Anolis sagrei: one gene and its partner. The protein of the gene in region 1 interacts with the protein of each later gene in a biochemical or structural test. Links are inferred from orthologs where the notes say so. Each region holds a gene or a part of one and is shown on either strand. Other genes may lie near its edges.

Evidence for each region. The genes of interacting proteins can lie anywhere in the genome.
Region 2: the proteins of ABI1 (region 1) and ENAH form a complex in vitro, tested with the Homo sapiens proteins (2 studies listed by BioGRID). The link is inferred for Anolis sagrei from reciprocal best matches to the Homo sapiens genes ABI1 and ENAH.

What each region holds. Positions count from the first base shown.
Region 1 is NC_090026.1:110,125,158-110,134,869, forward strand, and holds the start of ABI1 (abl interactor 1), read right to left. Parts: upstream 3,809-9,712; 5' UTR 3,573-3,808; coding exon 3,456-3,572; intron 1-3,455. UniProt on the Homo sapiens protein: May act in negative regulation of cell growth and transformation by interacting with nonreceptor tyrosine kinases ABL1 and/or ABL2. May play a role in regulation of EGF-induced Erk pathway activation. Involved in cytoskeletal reorganization and EGFR signaling.
Region 2 is NC_090021.1:39,442,824-39,453,293, forward strand, and holds the start of ENAH (protein enabled homolog), read right to left. Parts: upstream 4,433-10,470; 5' UTR 3,986-4,432; coding exon 3,981-3,985; intron 1-3,980. UniProt on the Homo sapiens protein: Ena/VASP proteins are actin-associated proteins involved in a range of processes dependent on cytoskeleton remodeling and cell polarity such as axon guidance and lamellipodial and filopodial dynamics in migrating cells.

The DNA.
Region 1 (9,712 bases):
AGCAACACCAGAGGCACTCCAAGTGGCATTTGATAATGCCAAGTTTTAAAACTTTGTGTTTTTTAAATACATTACAACTGTACTCTCGGTTTGCTTCTGATACGGTAAATAAATGGACAGGCATGAGCAAACTTCGGCCCTCCCGGTGTTTTGGACTTCAACTCCCAAAACTCCCAGCCATCTTACCGGCTGTTAGGAATTGTGAGTTAAAGTCCAAAACACCTGGAGGGTCAAAATTTACCCATGCCTGGTGTAGATGCACCTTCTGAGACATTGTGCTGCTTACCCCCTCTCTTTTTCTTCATCTTTATTTCTCTTTCCTACCCCCTTATTCTCTCTCCCTGGTTTGCCCTCCTCTCTTACCTCTTTGAACCAAATTTGGCTTCTTCTCCCCCCCCCCCCCCAAAAAAACCCCAACCATCTTCAGCACTCTTCCAAGTGTACATCTGCATCAGGCATGGGCAAACTTGGGCCCTCCAGGTTTGCCCGGGCCTGATCTACACTTTAGACCAATGGTTCTCAACCTGTAGAGCAGTGGTTCTCAACCTGTGGTTCCCCAGATGTTTTGGCCTTCAATTCCCAGAAATCCTAACAGCTGGAAAACTGGCTGGGATTTCTGGGAGTTGTAGACCAAAACACCTGGAGACCCACAGGTTGAGAACCACTGCTGTCGACTTATTATAGTTTGACACCACTTGGACTGCCATAATAGTAATAATAAAACTTTATTTATAACCCGCCCTATCTCCCCGAGGGGACTCAGGGCGGTTTCCAAACAAAAAAATGGCAAGCATTCAATGCCATAATGAAAACAAAACCAAATTGAACCAATGAATGAAACAACATCAATATAAACTTATAAGCTTACTAATTGGAGCTAGCTATAGGGAACATACCCAAGCAGCTCCTCTGGATTCCGACAATTTTCTGGGCTCATTTCAAGATGCAAGTTATTACCTACAAAGCCACATATGCTTTGGGTCCTTCATCTCTTTCTGTGAACCAGCGTGGGCTTTGAGATCAGCAAGGGAGGCCCTTTTCTCGGTTCCACTACTGTCTCAAGCATTTTCTTTGTCATGTCAGGAGCGACTTGAGAAACTGCAAGTTGCTTCTGGTGTGAGAGAATTGGCCGTCTGCAAGGACGTTGCCCAGGGGATGCCTGGATGATTTGATGTTTTTGTCATCCTTGTGGGAGGCTTCTCTCATGTCCCCGCATGAGGAGCTGGAGCTGATAGAGGGAGCTCATCCGCCTCTCTCCAGATTCGAACCTGTGACCTGCAGGTCTTCAGTCCTTCCGGCACAGGGGTTTAACCCACTGCGCCACCGGGGACTCCGTCTCAAGCATGGTTGGTGGGGATGAGAGAGAGGACCTTCTCAGTAGTGGCTCCCTGGCTCTGGAATACCCTCTCAAAAGATATTAGGTTAGCCCCCACCCTTGACTCTTTCCGATCCAGCCTAAAAACATTGATTTTTAAGCAGGCTTTTGGCCTTGAGTAGGCTGAAATGGGCCCATATGAGGTTGACACTTTGGCACTGTAATTGTGATTTGAAGGCTGCTAGTTTTAACTACAAATGTTCTGCATTTTAAACTGTGTTATATTTTATTTTATGTGTTAATAGTGGTTGTTATTATAATTGTTGTGCTATATTGTTTTTATACCCATGTACCTTTTATATAATATACTACATTTGTAGTGCCTTGTTTCTCAAGTCACTCCTGACACGACAAAAAAAAGTGCCTTGTAAACTGCCCTCGTTCCGTTTTGGGAGATGGTGTTGGGATAAATAAAGATTATCATTATCATTATTATTACTAACCAAAAGTAAGTAAATTAAAACAACGTAATTACTTTAAAAGCATAATAAAACTGCCATGGCTCAGTGCTATTGAATTCTATGAATTGTAGATTTACAAGGTCCTTAGTCTTCCCTGCCAAAGAATTCTATAGCCTCACCAGATGACAACACACACAATTCCATAGCGTTGAGCCATAGCAGTTCAAGTGGTGTGGAACCCCAGTACTTCTACCATGTAGGCTGCACCCCTGGTCTGGTCCACCTTAGGGTGCATCTATACCAGGCATGGAATATTGTGTCCAATTCTGGGCACGACAATTCAAGAGAGATATTGACAAGCTGGAATGTGTCCAGAGGAGAGCGACTAAAATGATCAAGAGTCTGGAGAACAAGCATGTTTAACCTGAAGAAGAGAAGGCTGAGAGGAGATATGATAGACATGTATAAATATGTGAGAGGAAGCCACAGGGAGGACGGAGCAAGCTTGTTTTCTGCTTCCTTGGAGACTAGGACACGGAACAATGGCTTCAAATTACAAGAGAGGAGATTCCATCTGAACACGAGGAAGAACTTTCTGACTGTGAGAGCCATTCAGCAGTGGAACTCTCTGCCCCGGAGTGTGGTGGAGGCTCCTTCTTTGGAAGCTTTTAAACAGAGGCTGGAGGGCCATCTGTCAGGGGTGATTTGAACGCAATATTCCTGCTTCTTGGCAGAATGGGGTTGGACTGGATGGCCCATGAGGTCTCTTCCAACTCTTTGATTCTATGATTCTATGGGCAAACTTTGGCCCTCCAGGTGTTTTGAACTTCAACTCCCACAATTCCTAACAGCCGGTGGGCATTGCAGTCCAACACTAGGATTCCTGGGAACTGAAGTCCAAGACACCTGGAGGGCTGAAGTGTGCCCATGCCTGATTTACACTGTCCATTTATTTATCGTATCAGAAGCAAACTGAGGATACAACTGTAATGTATTTAAAAAACGCATCCCTTGGGTGACGTCTTTGTAGACGGCTGATTGTCTAACACCAGAAGCGACTTGCAGCATAGAATCATAGAATCAAAGAGTTGGAAGAGACCTCATGGGCCATCCAGTCCAACTCCATTCTGCCAAGAAGCAGGAATATTGCATTCAAATCACCTCTGACAGATGGCCATCCAGCCTCTGCTTAAAAGCTTCCAAAGAAGGAGCCTCCACCACACTCCGGGGCAGAGAGTTCCACTGCTGAACGGATCTCACAGTCTGCAAATTCTTCCTCATGCAACCAAACAAACAAAAACACTGTCCAGCAAACACAGTTTGACACCACTGTGGTTGTTGAGGCTCAAGGCTATGGAAACCTGAGAGTGGTAGTTCCATAAAAGTCTGTCCACTACAACTCCTAGCATTGAATCCTGACAACTCAAAGTGGGGTCACAATGCACCCATTGGAAGTGGGCAAGGGCTCTTGCAAAGGGAGGAAGGCCTGGCTGGCCTTCCTCCCTTTGCAAGAGCCCTTGCCCACTTCCTGTAAGGCGAGTGGCTCCTTCCCCCCTTCTTCCTCCTCCTGCCATGGAGGCGAGCAAGAAGGAAGGAAGGAAATGAAGGCAGGCGTGGGTCTTGGCCCCTTCCAAGGCGAGCCTGCCTCCCTCCCTCCCTCCTTGGCTCTCCCTTCTTACCTGGATGTAGTTGTTTTCGCAGTAGTCGGCGACCCTGGTGAGGTTCTGGTAGCTCTCGAGCAAAGCCCGCTTCCCAGAAGGGATTTCCTCCTCTAGTAACATCTGCAGCTCTGCCATTTTCCTCCCCTCCGCATCGCTCCCTTCTCCCTTCCAGAGACAGGCGCCCAGACCCCAGACCCCGCTCTCTCGCTGCCTTCTCGGTTATGGCGAGGGGGGAGATGCCGCCTGAGCCTCAAGAGAAGGAGAGAGAGAGAGGAAGAAGGAAGGAAGGAAGGAGAACAGAGGCGTCGCTTTCCCCACCCACACTCCCTCCTCGCCTTGGGCTTTTTTTTTTCCTTCCTTTCCTCCTCCTTCTCTTCCTCCCCCTCCTCCTTCACAGGAAAAGGCGCTCGCAAGGCACGCTGGGAGGTGTAGTTCACAAGGCTTCCTTCCTGGCCAGAAAGTGCTTCTCTGTTGCTGTCCATCCCTTGGGTTCAGCTGCACTGGTTCTAGGAGGGGAAAAGTTGTCCTGTCAATAGGAACCTGGGAGTATCAACACTGGCATATCATGCAATTTGAAAGTGGACTATATGGTCAGTGTAGCCCAGTACAGCAAGGCAGGGTACCCTCACCCAGGCCTGTAGCGAGGGGGTGGTTTTAGGGGTTCAATCCCCCCCCGAAATGTTTCAGATTTTTTTAAAAAACCTGATTTACTCATGAATTTTAATTGGTTAACCAAATCCCCATGCTAAGTCTATGAGATGCAAAAAATTAAGAGTCCCTCCAGAATTGTAAGCACTATCTCAAGCAAATATTGACAATTTACTCACACTGTCATTACTTGCAGCAATACCTGATGTAGTGAAGCAACCAAGTTGGGGGTTTATGTGTTGAATGCTCTCATTAAGAAGGCCAGATTTGGTGGAGTTGGTTGACAGGGGTGGAGCTGCAGGCTATTGAAGGTTGCTCTGCCCCCTGCTGTACTCTTTGCTTCAGCGTGAGCTAGGAGGCAGGTTTCACCCCTCCCCCCTGCCAAAATTTTCAACCCTCCCCGAAATTTTCAACCCCCCCTCCCCCGAAATTGTCAACCCTCCCCGAAATTTTTTTCTGGCTACGGCCCTGCCCTCACCCAACCTATTCTGCTTGTATGCAGAAGACATCATGCGACGTGCGGGACTTGATGAATCCAAGGCTGGAGTTAACATTGCTGGACGAAACATTAGCAACCTTAGATATGCAGATGATACAGTAGAGTCTCACTTGTTGTTGTTCATTCGTTCAGTCATCTCCGACTCTTCGTGACCTCACGGACCAGTCCACGCCAGAGCTCCCTGTCGGCCGTCACCACCCCCAGCTCCTTCAAGGTCAGTCCAGTCACTTCAAGGATGCCATCCATCCATCTTGCCCTTGGTCGGCCCCTCTTCCTTTTGCCTTCCACTTTCCCCAGCATAATTGTCTTCTCTAGGCTTTGCTGTCTCCTCATTGTTGCTACTAAGAGGTTGTAACGTACTTTATCTAAGTTGTTGTAAGGATCAATGTTGTTTGTGCTATAACTTTAAGTTGCTGTAAAGTTCAAGGCTGTTTGTGCTACAGCTGTTTGAGTTAATTGAAGAGTTAATTGAGAGTATTATTTTCATGTGTATAAAGATAGCTACTGTGTGTTTAGCTTCTTTGCCATTGTGCATCTATGCCTCTGTGCCATTCTGCCTTGTGTAAGCCAGGGACTATGCTGCAGATGTCCTGCGAAGACACAGCCATGGGAAGAGGACAAGGATTCCTGCTTATCACAGCTGAGTAATGATATCTCTCAGAAGATATTGTTTCATGTTACTTTTGTGGAAACAGCAATCCTGCTATTTTGTTTTGTATGCTGCCAATACTACAATATTTTTCTTTTCTACTCATGTGTTTTTCTTTTAAGAGCCAATTCATCACACACACAGTTAACTGGGCTAGAGTCAATCTGCATGCTACTCATGCTAACGCATGACACTCATGATGTGGCCAAAGTACTTCAACTTTGTCCCTAGTATCCTTCCCTCCAATGAGCAGTCGGGCTTTATTTCCTGGAGGATGGACTGGTTGGATCTTCTCGCAGTCCAAGGCACTCTCAGAACTTTCCTTCAGCACCACAGTTCAAAAGCATCCTATCTTCCTTCGCTCAGCCTTCCCTAAGGTCCAGCTCTCACATCCGTAGGTGACTACAGGGAATACCATGGCTTTGACTAGGCGGATCTTTGTTGCCAGTCTGATGTCTCTACTCTTTACTATTTTATCGAGACTGGACATTGCTCTCCTCCCAAGAAGTAAGCGTCTTCTGATTTCCTGGCCACAGTCTGCATGGTCAGTGTAGCCCAGCACAAAAGCTGGGTTGCAGCTAAACATTAAAAAAAAAAAAACAAGATTATGGCAACAAGAATGATTGACAACTGGAAAATAGAGGGAGAAAATGTGGAGGCTGTGACAGACTTTGTATTTCTAGGTGCAAAGATTACTGTGGCCAGGAAATCAGAAGACCCTTACTTCTTGGGAGGAGAGCAAGGTCCAACCTCAATAAAATAGTAAAGAGTAGAGACATCACACTGGCAACAAAGATCCGCCTAGTCAAAGCCATGGAGACCCATAAGAAAAAGATCTACACCAGTGCAAAAACTAAGATCCAAAGAAGGACAAGAGAACTTAAGAACATCTCATGGACAAAGAAGGCTGAAGAAATCCAACACCTGGCAGATACCCGTGATGCTCAGGGATTTTTCACAGCCACAAAGGTCATCTATGGACCAAGAAACCATGGCATACAGCCTCTACGCTCATCAGATGGAACCAAACTCCTGAAGGACCAAAAATCAATTGCACTACGTTGGAAAGAACACTACCAAAGCCTCCAGAACCGCAGCTCGAATGTGGCCAAAGAGGTTCTCCCACAAATCAGGGATGAGTTTGCAGCACTGCCTAGTTTGGAAGAAGTCAGCAATGTCATCAACCAACAAAAAATAACAAAGCCAGCAGACCTGATGGGATCCCTTCTGAAATCTTTAAAGAGGGAGGACCTGAGCTGAGAGGTTGGATGGCCATCTGTCGGGGTGCTTTGAATGCAATTTTCCTGCTCCTTGGCAGGGGGTTGGACTAGATGGCACACAAGGTCTCTTCCAACTCTATGATTCTATAATTCTATTATTCTACATGCCAAATAAGAATATCAAACTATCCCAAATTGGACTTGTTCCAGAGATCACTCTCTTGAGGACTGAGTGGAAAAATTCCAGATACATCCATTTCTAGTTTGGTTTCAGTCCACAAAAAGATTGCTTGGCCCTAATAGTTAATCCTAGTATGAAGAATAAGGTTGATTGGTTTTATTGTACATGTGTTGTTTGACTGTTTTATGCGTATGTGTTGGTCTGTTTTTGTTTGTTTGTTTTTTGCTTACTCTGTATGGATTTGTGTTTTTACAATTTGGAAACTGCCCTAAGTCCCCCAGGGGAGATAGAGTGGTATATAAATAAAGTTTTATTATTATTAAATATTCCTTTGATTTTGATACAGTTTTTATGCAATCTTACTCATTTCCATGGTATATGTAATGCAGGCAAATACTTTTAGCCCATATATGTTTCTTCGGGAACATGATCTGCTAGTACACCTAAAAATGAAATATGTATCGCATTAATCTTAAATAAAATGCAGTAATTAGATGACAAAAATAGTGCAGATACTGAAGCCGCATTTTTAGTCCTTTCTCCCCCAGAAATGTAAAGGGCAGAATCAATGCTATAATGTTTAAGGTTAGAATACCCACACCGGATGCCAACATTCATAATTTTGTTCATAGAGTTTGCAGTAAAGCATCTCTTTCCTCCTCCAAACACTTATTTATCATGTTACCGGGGCTGTAACCCCATGACTGGCACAAATGCATTTTAGGATGGAAGCCTTGATTCTGAAGCCTTGCCATCTGCTTTGCTTATGGCTTCATGCTGATTGATTTTCATATGGAAAGAACATCAAAGGGATCATGACGGGACATTCCCTTTCAAGGCATTCCCAGAATCCTCAGCTTTTTTTTCTTTCCTGCAGAAGACTCCAGCGAGAATGCCAATTAGGGCCAATGGCAAAGATGGTTATAACATGTGCAAAAGATCACAATGTACTCTCCTGGAGGTTACAGATCTGAAACAAAACTGAATTTCGAATTTCATTGTGTTGGTGGAGAAACATTCATCCACTTTATTGAACTAGTGGAAGATCTATGGATTAAATTGCTGAATTTCGGGTTCTAGTGAGTAGATGGTGAGTTATAACGTTTATCTCTGCATAATGAGAAGCTTATTTGCCAATTCTTCCAAATCACATCACTGTTGAAAGAACTGCTCTTAAAGGTCAACTGAAAAGCCAGCAAAAAGTGCTAATTCTAGCAGGCCTGACCCTTTTATTCAACATTATAGTATATACACTATAGAATTAATGCGGTTCAACTCTACTTTAACAGCCATAGTTTAATTCAATTGAATCATGGGAAATGTAGTTTTACAATGTCTCTTGTTTTCTCTGCCAAATTCCCATGATTGAGCCACGGCAGTTAAAGTGATGTCAACCTGTATTCATTCTACAATCCAGACACATCCAGAATGGACAATCTGCTTTCCATAGCCGATTTTGTGTATCACTTTCATGAAAAAGAAGCAGATTGTTTACTTTTTCTATTTTTATTGCTAGGGATGAGAGCAGACCTTGGAAAAAATCTGTGAACTACACTTCCCAGGTATAACTTGTCTAATTTCTGGCCTTAGATCAGTGGTTCCCAAACCTTTTTTTTAAACCAGGGACTACTTTGACTAGGGACCACTCTTCAACATCAATACCAAAAGGGTTATGAATCAGTTTTTGATCAACTTTAGATTCAGTTTTGGGTGCTGATTTGGAAAATGGCATTGGATAGACCACATCAGTTCTAGTTTCTGATACAGAACATATGCAGTGGTCAGTAAAAGGGAAGGAGTGGCAGCCAATGCAAAAGGAGTAGAAATAAAATAAAATAAAATAAAATAAAATAAAATAAAATAAAGAGAAAGGAGGCTCACAGACCAGATTTTTGTCCTCATGGTCCACAGTGAAGACATCTGCCCTTGAGCTTTGCTACTCTGCTGCTGAATACACATGCCCAGTGTGGAACACATCTCACCATGTTAAAACAGTGGATGTTACTCTTAATGAGACTTGCCACATTATCACAGGATGCCAGGAAGTAGCAGCCAACAATGAAAGGACCAAGGCAGTGACATCTCCGGCCCAACCCCTGTTCGAATATCAGCCAGCCCGCCAGTGCTTTAAATCAAGAAATATTTATTTATTTATTTATTTAGTACACTTGTATACCGCTAATATCTCAGCCTAAGACGGCGACTCATTGCGGTTTACAACATTTAAAAACAACAATATTCCAATTAAAAATATAAAACACATACATATACAATACACAGTATTGGGCCACCAATACAGACCAATGCATCTCTTAAATTAAAATCATAATCCAATTTCGTTGTCTGTGATTGCCAGTCCTTGATCAGAGATTTCATCGCATCGGATTAGCCGAATGCTTGCTCAAACATCCATGTCTTGAGTTTTTTCCGAAATACTAAATGCCATTTGATATAAGATCTACAAATATAAGATCTACAGAGATACTCGCAGGAACACCTCAGCAAGCGGGAGTCCAAAAGTGGCAGGCTAAAACCCAGAACCTCTGATATCAAATGAGAGACTCCCTCCTGGGCACACAGAAGACTGGACAGCTTGGAAGACACTGAACAGACAGTGCTCTGGCACCATGAGATGCCGAGCTAACCTTAAGAAATGGAGCCACAAAGTGGAGTCCATGACATGCGAGTGTAGAGAAGATAAAATCATACACCACCTACTACAATGCAACCTGATCCCTGCCACATTCACAATGGAGGACCTTCTTATAGCAACACCAGGGGCACTCCAAGTGGCCAGCTACTCGTCAAATGGCATTTAGCAAAAGCCAAATTTGAAAACTTTGTTTGTGTTTTTAAATACCTTACAACTGTATCCTCGGTTCACTTCCGACACAATAAGTAAATAAATAGAAGAGAAGGAAAGGGAATATTCCCCATCTCTGGAGGTTCAGGCAAAAGCAAACCACAGCAGCCTCTCCCAGCTTACCTATTCTTCCTTATGGATAACATTTTGCCATTTTGAACACATTCTGATGTTGCCTGTTCACACAGGCAACATCAGGTGTTCATCTACAAAAT
Region 2 (10,470 bases), on another chromosome or scaffold:
CATACATTCATAATAACTTGTCAACACCCAACACTTTAACACATGTTACTCCATCTTTTTGCCATGTGTTCAACTCATTTTAGAGCCATGACTTACAGTTAATGGGAGGTCCCTACAAAGGCAGCTTGGTATCTCTGCGTAATAAAATATGCACAAGAAGCTGTAGCTCAGGCATGGGCGAACTCGGGCCCTCCAGGTGTTTTGGACTTCAACTCCCATCATTCCTAACAGCCTCAGGCCCTTTCCTTCTCCCCCTCGGCCACAGCAGCTGAGGGGGAAAAAGAAAGGACCTGAGGCTGTTAGGAATGGTGGGAGTTGAAGTCCAAAACACCTGGAGGGCGGCCCAAGTTTGCCCATGCCTGCTGTAGTTCCTAAAAACAATTTTGAAGCATAGGGGCATACCACCACCCAAGATTAGAAAACAATTTGACAAATTTCAGAATACTCCGAAACGGCTTTGAGTCTCCTTTATGGAGAAAAAACAAGGGGCATAAATAAACATAAGAATATTTCTATGTGTTCTGGCAACAATGTAATCCCAGGTATAGACAGAGAGTGATTGGATGATACCAAAAGCATGAAACATCAGTTCAATCTGAGTTAGAAAGTACATTTTCCACTACTCTGTGTTTTCTAAGGACTTGGGAAATCTATTTGCCACTTCTCCCTGGGCAAACTTCGGTCCTCCAGGTGTTTTGGACTTCAACTCCCACAATTCCTAAAAGCCTAGGACATGGATGTTTCAACAAGCCTTCGACCAGAGTTAGATGCCTTTAATAAATATGTGAGAACCCACAGATATTACTAAGCACTGTATATGACTAAGATAGACTATTGTTGTTTTATATACGCAGCTATTGCTGTATTTTATTGATTTTAACCAAGGGGTTTTATGAACGAAGATATTTATGTTGGCTGTTACTGTTTTATATTATTGTTTCTGCATTTTTTTTAATTTTATGTGCTGCACCTTTGAGTGACTTGTAGGGCGCCATGAGTCCCTCTGGGAGATGATGGCAGGGAATAAAGTTGTATTATTAAGTCCAAAATACCTGGAGGGCTGAAGTTTCCCAATGCCTGCCCTACACACATACAAGAGATGTGTATGTAAAGAACCATACATTTATTTAAAGAGCAAATAAAGTAGCGGAGCATTTCATAGGTGTTCAAAGCTTCTAAGAACGCATAGCCTGAGACTTTAAAAAAATCACTTTAAAAAGTTTAATACAGCATGTTTAATAGAGATGTTGACAGGCTGGAATGTGTCCAGAGAAAAGAGACTAAAATGATCAAGGGTCTGGAGAACAAGCCCTATGAGGAGCGGCTTAAAGAGCTGGACATGTTTAGACTGAAGAAGAGAAGGCTGAGGAGACATGGCAGCCATGTAAAAATATGTGAGAGAAAGTCACAGCGAGGAGGGAGCAAGCTTGTTTTCTGCTGCCCTGGAGTCTAGGACACGGAACAATGGCTTCAAACTACAAGAAAGGAGATTCCATCTGAACATGAGGAAGAACTTCCTGACTGCGAGAGCCATTCAGCAGTGGAACTCTCTGTTGCAGAGTGTGGTGGAGGCTGCTTCTTTGGAAGCTTTTAAACAGAGGCTGGGTGGCCATCTTTTGGGGGTGCTTTGAATGCAATTTTCCTGCTTCTTGGCAGGGGGTTGGACTGGATGGCCCATGAGGTCTCTTCCAACTCTATGATTCTATGCACTTATTTTCTTGGTGCAGTCAGGCTGCTTGATTTTTGTCTCTCTCTCCAAAAAAAAAAACAAAACAGGAATGGCAGACCATCTCACTATGAATCTTACATGGACTTTGCAACTGCAAGTGCTGCAAAGGAAATCCAAATGAAGTGCCTGGGAGAAGGTCTAGTTTAACTCTGGCAGAAGGAATAGCTTTCCCTGGATCCTAATGCAAAACAACCTCCTGAGCCTCAATTTTAAGTGTTGCATCAAAGCAGAGGAGTAGTTGCAGAATGCAAAACAGAGGAGCCTCCTCCCTCTCCCCCCCCCCTCCTTCGCGAGTGTTTCCAGGGGAAATGAACCCTTTTCTTCTCCAGGGTTCATGCAGGGAGAAGGAGGACAGGCATGCCTCCTTCGATAGGGAGACCAAAACAAAACCTAAATACAAATATTCGAGATTCCCAAAGCATTGTGTGAGCGCTTTCTCTCTCTCTCTCTCTCTCTCTCCCCCCCCCCCCCCAATTCCTCCTATTTATCGATTACACAAAAGACAAAACCCAGCAGGGACTGCTGCATTGCAACACACGGCTTTTTCCTCGTCTCCACCTTGAATTCGGCAACTCTACGAGGTGATTCCGAGTCTGGTTTCCCAAAGCGAATCCTAAAAGGACGCTGGAAGAAGCAGCCTGGCCCTCCTCCTCCTCCTCGCCCCCCGCCCAAAGCAAAACGCATCCATGCCGAATCCCCCTCCCGTTAATAAATGAATGGCTCTCCCTCTTTCCTTCCTTCCTTCCTTCCTCCCTCCCTCCCTCCCTCCTGCGCACCAACCAGCCAACCCTCTCCTCCTTCCAGCCCTGGCTTGCAACAAAAGCCCCGCAAAAAAGCCAGAGAGATGAGCCATGATGATCCCCCACGAACACAGCAGTCGTCGCCTGCTCTGCCTCGACCGGCAAAACACACACAAGAACTTCCCCCACTTTCCATGCAAAGGAACAATGGGAAAGAGGAGGAGGAGGAGGAGGAGGAAGACCCGACAATAACAGGAATGGGGATACAACGCAATTCAGTCGATGGGGGATGAATTGAATGGCCGGACTGCGCGAAAGGGCTCCCCTTTCTGCTCCTTGCACCCCTTTGCTTCCAAACACAGCCCAGACCCCCATTAAGCCCTCCCCGAAATGGCGTTTCCCAGTCCAGAAGCCCCCACTTCCCTATTAAACCCCTCACTGAATACCTCATTGGGGGTTCCCAGTCCAGAGGCCCCATATTCCTGTTCAAGTCCCTATTGAATATCTCATTGGAGTTTCCCAGTCCATATTCTTAGTCAACCCCCAATGGAATACCTCATTGGGTTTTCCTAGTCCAGATACCCCCATATCCCTATTAAACCCCTTATTGACTACCTCATTGGAGTTTCCCAATCCAGAGGCCCCCTTATTCCTATTAACCCCTATTGTATATCTCTGGGTTTTCCCAGTGCAGAGCCCCCCATAGCCCTATTAAACCCTCTTTTGAACACCTTATTGGGTTTCCCAGTCCAAAGGCCCCATGTTGCTATTAAACCCTCTATTTAATATCTCATTGGAGTTTCCCAATCCAGAGGCCCCCTAATTCCTATTAACCCCCTATTGTATACTTCTAGGTTTCCCCAGCCCAGAGGCCCCCATGTCCCTATCAACCCCCCTATTGAATACCTCATTGGGTTTTCCCAGTCCAGAGCCCCCATATCCCTATTCAAACCCCCTATTGAACACCTTATTGGGGTTTCCCAGATCAGAGGCCCCATATTCCTATTATATCCCCTATTGAACACCTTATTGGGGTTTCCCACTAGAGGCCCCATGTTCCTATTAAACCCCCTATTGAACACCTTATTGGGGTTTCCCAGACCAGAGGCCCCCATATCCCTATCAAACCCCCTATTGAATACCTCTTTGGGTTTTCCCACTCCAGAGTCCTTATTCCTATTAACCCCCTATTGTGTATCTCTGGGTTTCCCCAGTCCAGAGGCCCCCATGTTCCTATTAAACCCCGTATTGAACACCTTATTGGGGTTTCCCAGACCAGAGGCCCCCATATTCCTATCAAACCCCCTACTGAATACTTCCTTGGGTTTCCTAGTCCAATCCTCTCCCACAAGAACCCCTTCCCTCTCCCCAGTTAGGACCAGCCCCCCATTAAACACACACGGTGCCTCCCTCCCCCCCCCTTCTCCTCCTCCATAATGGCTTCCCTCCTATTGATCAAGTCAAGGAGCCCCTTCCTCCTCCTCCTCCCCCTCCTCCTTCCTCTGTCTTACCTCATGTTGCTGCCCAAGGTCCGGGCGGGGGGCGCCTTCCCCCCAGGCCCAGCTCCTGCCTGTCTTCCTTCCTCTTCCTCTTCTCAATGGGAGCGGGAGGCCAAAGGAGGAAAAGGAGCGGAGGCAAGGGTCCCTCTCTCTCTCCTTCCTTTCTCTCTCTCTCTCTCTCTTTCTGCTCAGGCGCCAGCCAGTCCCTGCCTTGGCAACCCTCCCTCCGCCGGCCACAGCGGGGAGTCCGAAAGGAAGGAGGGAGGGAGGGAAGAAAGGAAAGAAGAGCGCGGAGGGAGGGAGGGGGAGAGAGAGGCGACCCTCGAGGCGCCGCGAGGATTACGCGGGAGAACCCCGGCTTTCGGGGAGGGGAGGGGAGAGGAAGGGGAGAGGAGAAAGAAAGGAAGGAAGGAAGGGAGCAAGGCAGGCGGCGGAGAGACCGGCTTCTCAGGGGGAGGGGAGGGGGCTGCAAGGCGAGGGAGGGGCCAGGCCTCCGGAGCAGGCGCGCCGAGGGGGCGGGGCCAGGGGCAAGCCGCGCCTATTGGACCTGCTCTGCATTCTCCGTGCATTCCATGCGGGATCTCAAAAGGGGGGGAGGGGGCGCCCAGAGGTGGGCTCGCCCAATCCGCGCGGGAGGCAAGCAGGCTCCTCCGCCCGGCGTTGCCACCGCGATGAGCACGCTCTCTCGCGCCCCCCCTGCCGGCCGCTCTCCGTATCGCTTCCCTTTTTTTTTGCGCACTACTTACCTAGCCGCGGGTCGGTCAGTAGGTACACCGTGCTGCTCACGTCCCTCCTGACTGAGCGCATCTGCACCGTGGAGTGTGCACGCAGCCTTGGCACTGCTCCATCTGCCGTGGAGTCCATCGCAGCTGCGGTGTGAGGAGGCACACCGGCACTCTTTGGAAAAGGAGGCCAAATTCTTTCAAAACTACAGCCAGTCCCCAAGTTACGAACCAGATAGGTTCTGTGGGTTGGATTTGTGTGTAAGTCGGAACAGGTACATTTTTAAGTGTAACTCCAGCCATATATGTATAATATATTTATTTTTAAAAAACACTTCTATAATCTTTCAAAATATTTTGTATTAGTCTATTGTTGTTGTTGTTCATTCGTTCAGTCGTCTCCGACTTTCCGTGACCTCATGGACCAGCCCACGCCAGAGCTCCCTGTTGGCCGTCACCACCCCCAGCTCCTTCAAGGTCAGTCCAGTCACTTCAAGGATGCCATCCATCCATCTTGGCCTTGGTACTCTTCCCGGGAGAAGACTAAAACCTTGTAAAATTACAATTGATTGATTGGTACAATTTAACCCGCTGTGCTACCTGCAGTAGCACAAGCAGGTTAAACTGCTAGCTGCAGGAAATCTAACCAGAAGGTTGAAACTTCAAAGCCACAAGTTGGGGTGAGCTCCCAACTGCCAGCCCTAGCTTCTGCCAACCTAACAATTTTAAAGCATGAAATGCAAGTAGATCAATAGTTACCACCTTGGCAGGAAGGTAAAAGGGCGCCCCATGCAGACATGCTGGCAACACAATCGGAGATGTCTATGGACAACAGGCTCCTTGGCATGGGAGAATGGAGCAAGAGCACCTCCCCATGGCTGGAGTTGAGCATCGCCTCTAGACACCGGATATGAAAAAAAGGGGAAGGCCTTTACCTTTGTCTGTGTTGTATGCTGTTGTTCACTGTGTGTAAAAGGCATTGAATGTTTGCTTCATATGTGTATTGTAATCCGCTCTGAGTCCGTCCAGGGAGATAAAGGGGAATATAAATAAAGTGTATTATTATTATTATTATTATTATTATTATTATTATTGAGGACCTCCTTGCGCCTCTAGGCATAGCAACTGCTTCCCTCCTGGGTGAATCTATGTTGTAGCATGACAATAAATAAAGAACAACATTTTGAAAAATGGGAACTCCAGACAAGAAACAATCAGGGGCAGCTAATCACCTCTCAACAAAGGATTCCCCCAGGCAGTAAGAAGCTCCAGACCTTGAAAATTGCTAGGCCATTAAATGCCAATCAAGGTGGCCAATTGCTACATTTACACCTACCTCAAACAGACAAGAGGCTTTCTCCCACCCTGGACATTTCACACACACACACACACACATTTACAATCAATGACCAGCACCAAAATATGTACAAACGTCAAAATAAGAAGGCATTAAGAAACAATGTCAAAAACAAAGTAAATAGTTTTTTTAAAAATATTGTTCTTCATTTATTGTTATGATTTTTTAATTGTAGATGAATGCAGCATGACATAACTTTAACTGCCATGGCTCCATGCTATTGAATCCTGGGAGATGTAGTTTTACAAAGTCTGTAGCATTCTCAACCATAGAGCACTGGTGTTTCACCACACTACAACTCCCAGGATTCCATAGCATTGAGCCATGGCACTTAGAGTGGTAGCCATATGCATTCATTCTGCAGTGTAGACAGACTGTATACCTTTGTATGTAGGCAAAGGTATAATTGTCAGCGCAGACTAAAACCCATACAGAAGTTCTTATTCTGAGTAAGCCCCTAGTGGCGCAGTGGGTTAAACCCCTGTGCTGGCTGGACTGAAGACCAACAGGTCGCAGGTTCGAATCCGGGGAGAGGCGGATGAGCTCCCTCTATTAGCTCCAGCTCCTCATGCGGGGACATGAGAGAAGCCTCCCACAAGGATGATAACAACATCAAATCATCAAGGCATCCCCTGGACAATGTCCTTGCAGACGGCCTATTCTCTCACACCAGGAGTCACTCCTGACACGACCAAAAAAAAAATTCTGAGTAAAACATGTGTCCAGTTTATAACTATGGAAATAGGTTGCACACACGCAGGCAGTTATTACATGCGATACAGGGTAGCTATCTGCATGCAAGGCTGAGTTTAAGAGCTGCTGGCTGTGAGGGTTACCAAGGTCACGTGCACTGCATATATTACCGCTGAAGCTTCTTGTTACTATTCAGTTCTCCCTACAGCAGAGTTGCCTTGAATTCCTTATTATTAGCTGTTCCGATTGTTTTTTCTGCTTGCCTTGCACCTTGGAATTCGATCTGCGTTAGCACTTTCTGAACGAATTCTTAGCATTCTCCCCTTGCATTTAGTTGCAGGAATATTTTCCGCACCTACGTCTATCCAGTTAACACCACATCATGGCAAATAGGATTCTTGTTTCAACTCCACTAGGCTTGGCTTAACTTCTCTATCACAGTTTGTTGAGAATGACACGATAAACTATGTGGGGAAAAATACACTTCTATCCCCGTGTTTAGAATAAACATGCCACATTTGCTCAGTAATGAAAAACATTTAACAGGAACTCTCAGGAACACCTATAGGGCTTATTATATATATATGTACCTGGGGTGCATCTTCTACACTGCATACTTAATACAGTTTGATATCACTTCAATACTACAGAATCATAGGAGTTGTAGTTTTGCAAGGTTGCAAAGAGTGCTGCACCAAACTACAGCTCTCATGATTCCATAGCATTGATCCATGGCAGTTATTGTTGGAAATAGCAACTTTCTCAAGCCTCCCCTAGTGATTTGTTATGTATATAATTCAGATTGATTACTGTCTTGTATATGTGCATATTGGTATGCACTTTGACCTTAACTCATTGTTATGGGAGGGGCGGCAGACCACGTGATCAGGTCTGGGCTTGTTCAGGGCTCAGACTCTCTTTTAGGACACTGTTCAGTTTAGACTTTAGTAGAAAAGTGTGATTCAGACTTCAGTGCAGGAAATGTATACTTAGAGACTTCAGTAGAAATAGATGTATGTTTTAGAAGTCAGCAGGAACAGAGCGCGGTATAGACTTTATAAGAATGATGCCCGGTGTTACCTACACAGAGAAACTACCATATATTGCGGCATATAAGACGACTGGGTGTATCTCGGGAAGTCTGACTTGGCCACGGTGGTACACGCTCTTGTCACATCCCGCCTGGATTACTGCAACGCTCTCTACGTGGGGCTGCCCTTGAAGACGGCCCGGAAGCTTCAGCTGGTCCAGCGTGCGGCAGCCATGTTACTAACTGGAGCGGGTAGCAGGGAGCACACAACGCCCTTGTTGTCCCAGCTCCACTGGCTGCCGATTTGCTACCGGACCCAATTCAAGGTGCTGGTCTTGGCCTACAAAGCCCTAAACAGTTCCGGCCCAAAATACCTTTCTGACCGCATCTTGGCCTACGAGCCCACGAGGACCTTGAGATCGTCTGGGGAGGCCCTTCTCTCGATCCCGCCTGCATCACAGGCACGGCTGGCGGGGACGAGGGAGAGGGCCTTCTCGGTGGTGGCCCCCCGGCTGTGGAACACTCTCCCGGCACACATTAGACAGGCGCCCTCCCTCATGTCCTTTCGAAAAAGCCTTAAGACCTGGCTGTTCGAGAGGGCATTTAATTAAGTGCTAAGCAACAACATTACGGTAATGAGAACTGGAATGGTACAAGGAAAATGAGACTGGCTATGATTCTACTAAGAGACGAAGCGGATTTTTATGTAGTTTGTATTTGTTGTATAGTCATATGTTGTTGATACTGGCCTCTGTAACTGTCTTTTTATGTGTACTGTACACCGCCATGAGTCGCCCGTAAGGGCTGAGAATGGCGGTCAATAAGTGCATCTAATAAATAAATAAATAAATAAATAAGACGACCCCCAACTTTTCCAGTTAAAATATAGAGTTTGGGATATATTCGCCATATAAGACTACCCCTCTTCCAACGCACACCAAATAAAAATGTAAAAGCATCAGATTTGATTTCAATATGGTAATTTTCCTATTACTGTACCTCCTTCTTTGCCTCTCAGATCTTGCACATGTGCACTTGCACCGGTTCACTGCAGTCTACAGGAGCGAGATCTGAGAGGCAGAGGAGGAGGTCAGACAGGTAAAATAGGTGCATTTGTCTGGGCCCAGAGCCACTCGAGGGTGGGAGAAAAAACTCTTGTCTGTTGGAGGTAGGTGTGAATGTTTCAATTGGCCACCTTGATTAGCATTTAATGACCTAGCAGTTTCAAGGTCTGGCTGCTTATTGCCTGGGGGAATCCTTTGTTGAGAGATGATTAGCAGTCCCTGATTGTTTCTTATCTGGAATTCCTCTGTTTATGAGTAACAGGGCATGTTTTTATCAAGATGTTATGGCATCAATTTTCAAAAAGTTGTGACTTCTAAGGTCATCCCTAAGGACATTAAATCTCCAAAAGGTTCTGGAGATTTCCATTTTCCAAACTGCATTAATAGTACAGTTTAGATCAGTGTTTCTCAACCTGGGGGTCGGGACCCCTAAGGGGGTCGCGAAGGGGTGTCAGAGGGGTCGCCAAAGACCATCAGAAAACACTATTTTCTGATGGTCATTGGGATTCCATGTGGGAAGTTTGAGCCAATTCTATCATTGGTGGAGTTCAGAATGTTCTTTGATTGTAATGAACTATAAATCCCAGCAACTACAACTCCCAAAAGTCAAGGTATATTTTCCCCAGGCTCCACCAGTGTTCACAAATTTGTGCATATTGAGTATATGTGCCAAGTTTAGTCCAGATCCACCATTGCGTGAGTCCACAGTGCTCTCTGGATATAGGTGAACTACAACTCCCAAACTCAAGGTCAATACCCACCAAACCCTTCCAGTGTTTTCTGTTGGTCATAGGAGTTCTGTGTGGCAAATTAGGTTCAAATCCATCGCTGGTGGAGTTCAGAATGCTCTTTGATTGTAGGTGAACTATAAATCCCAGCAACTACAACTCCCAAATTACAAAATAAATCCTCCCCCAACCCCACTAGCATTTACATGTGGGTGCACTGGGTATTTGTGCCCAGTTTGGTCCAATGAATGAAAATACATCTTGCATATCTGATATTTACATTATGATTTATAACAGTAGTAAAATGAATGTTATGAAGTAGCAACAAATACAATGTTATGTTTGGGGGTCACCACAACATGAGGGACTGTATTAAGGGGTCACGGCATTAGGAAGGTTGAGAACCACTGGTTTAGATGCATCTTTGCACACACTCACATGAAAGTATGACCTCTTGAACTTAATGGAGCCATACTTCATACTTGTCTATATTATCTTACTGCCCAAACTCATTGTCCTGTTTGAAATAGGATTCAACAAAGAGCTCCCAAGAAGGTGCACATGAGGACAGCTATATAAATGTAGGCAGAATGTGGACTGGAAAAGTGTGAATCTTGTTTGAAGATTGGCATAGAGCAGGCATGGGCAAACTTTGGCCCTCCAGATGTTTTGGATTTCAACTCCCACAATTCCTAACAGCTTCAGGCCCTTTTCTTTTCCCAAGAAGCAAGAAGCGATTGTGGCTGGGCTTCAAAGAGATTTGCTGACGACTTTTGTATTGCTACTGCACTTTATTTTTTGCTGAATTGTTTCTTCCAAGTTCATACATATAGCCATCGATAGATATGATATGAAACCATTTTAAAGGCTTCATAACAGCAAGCATGAGATCTAATGTTCCACTCAAG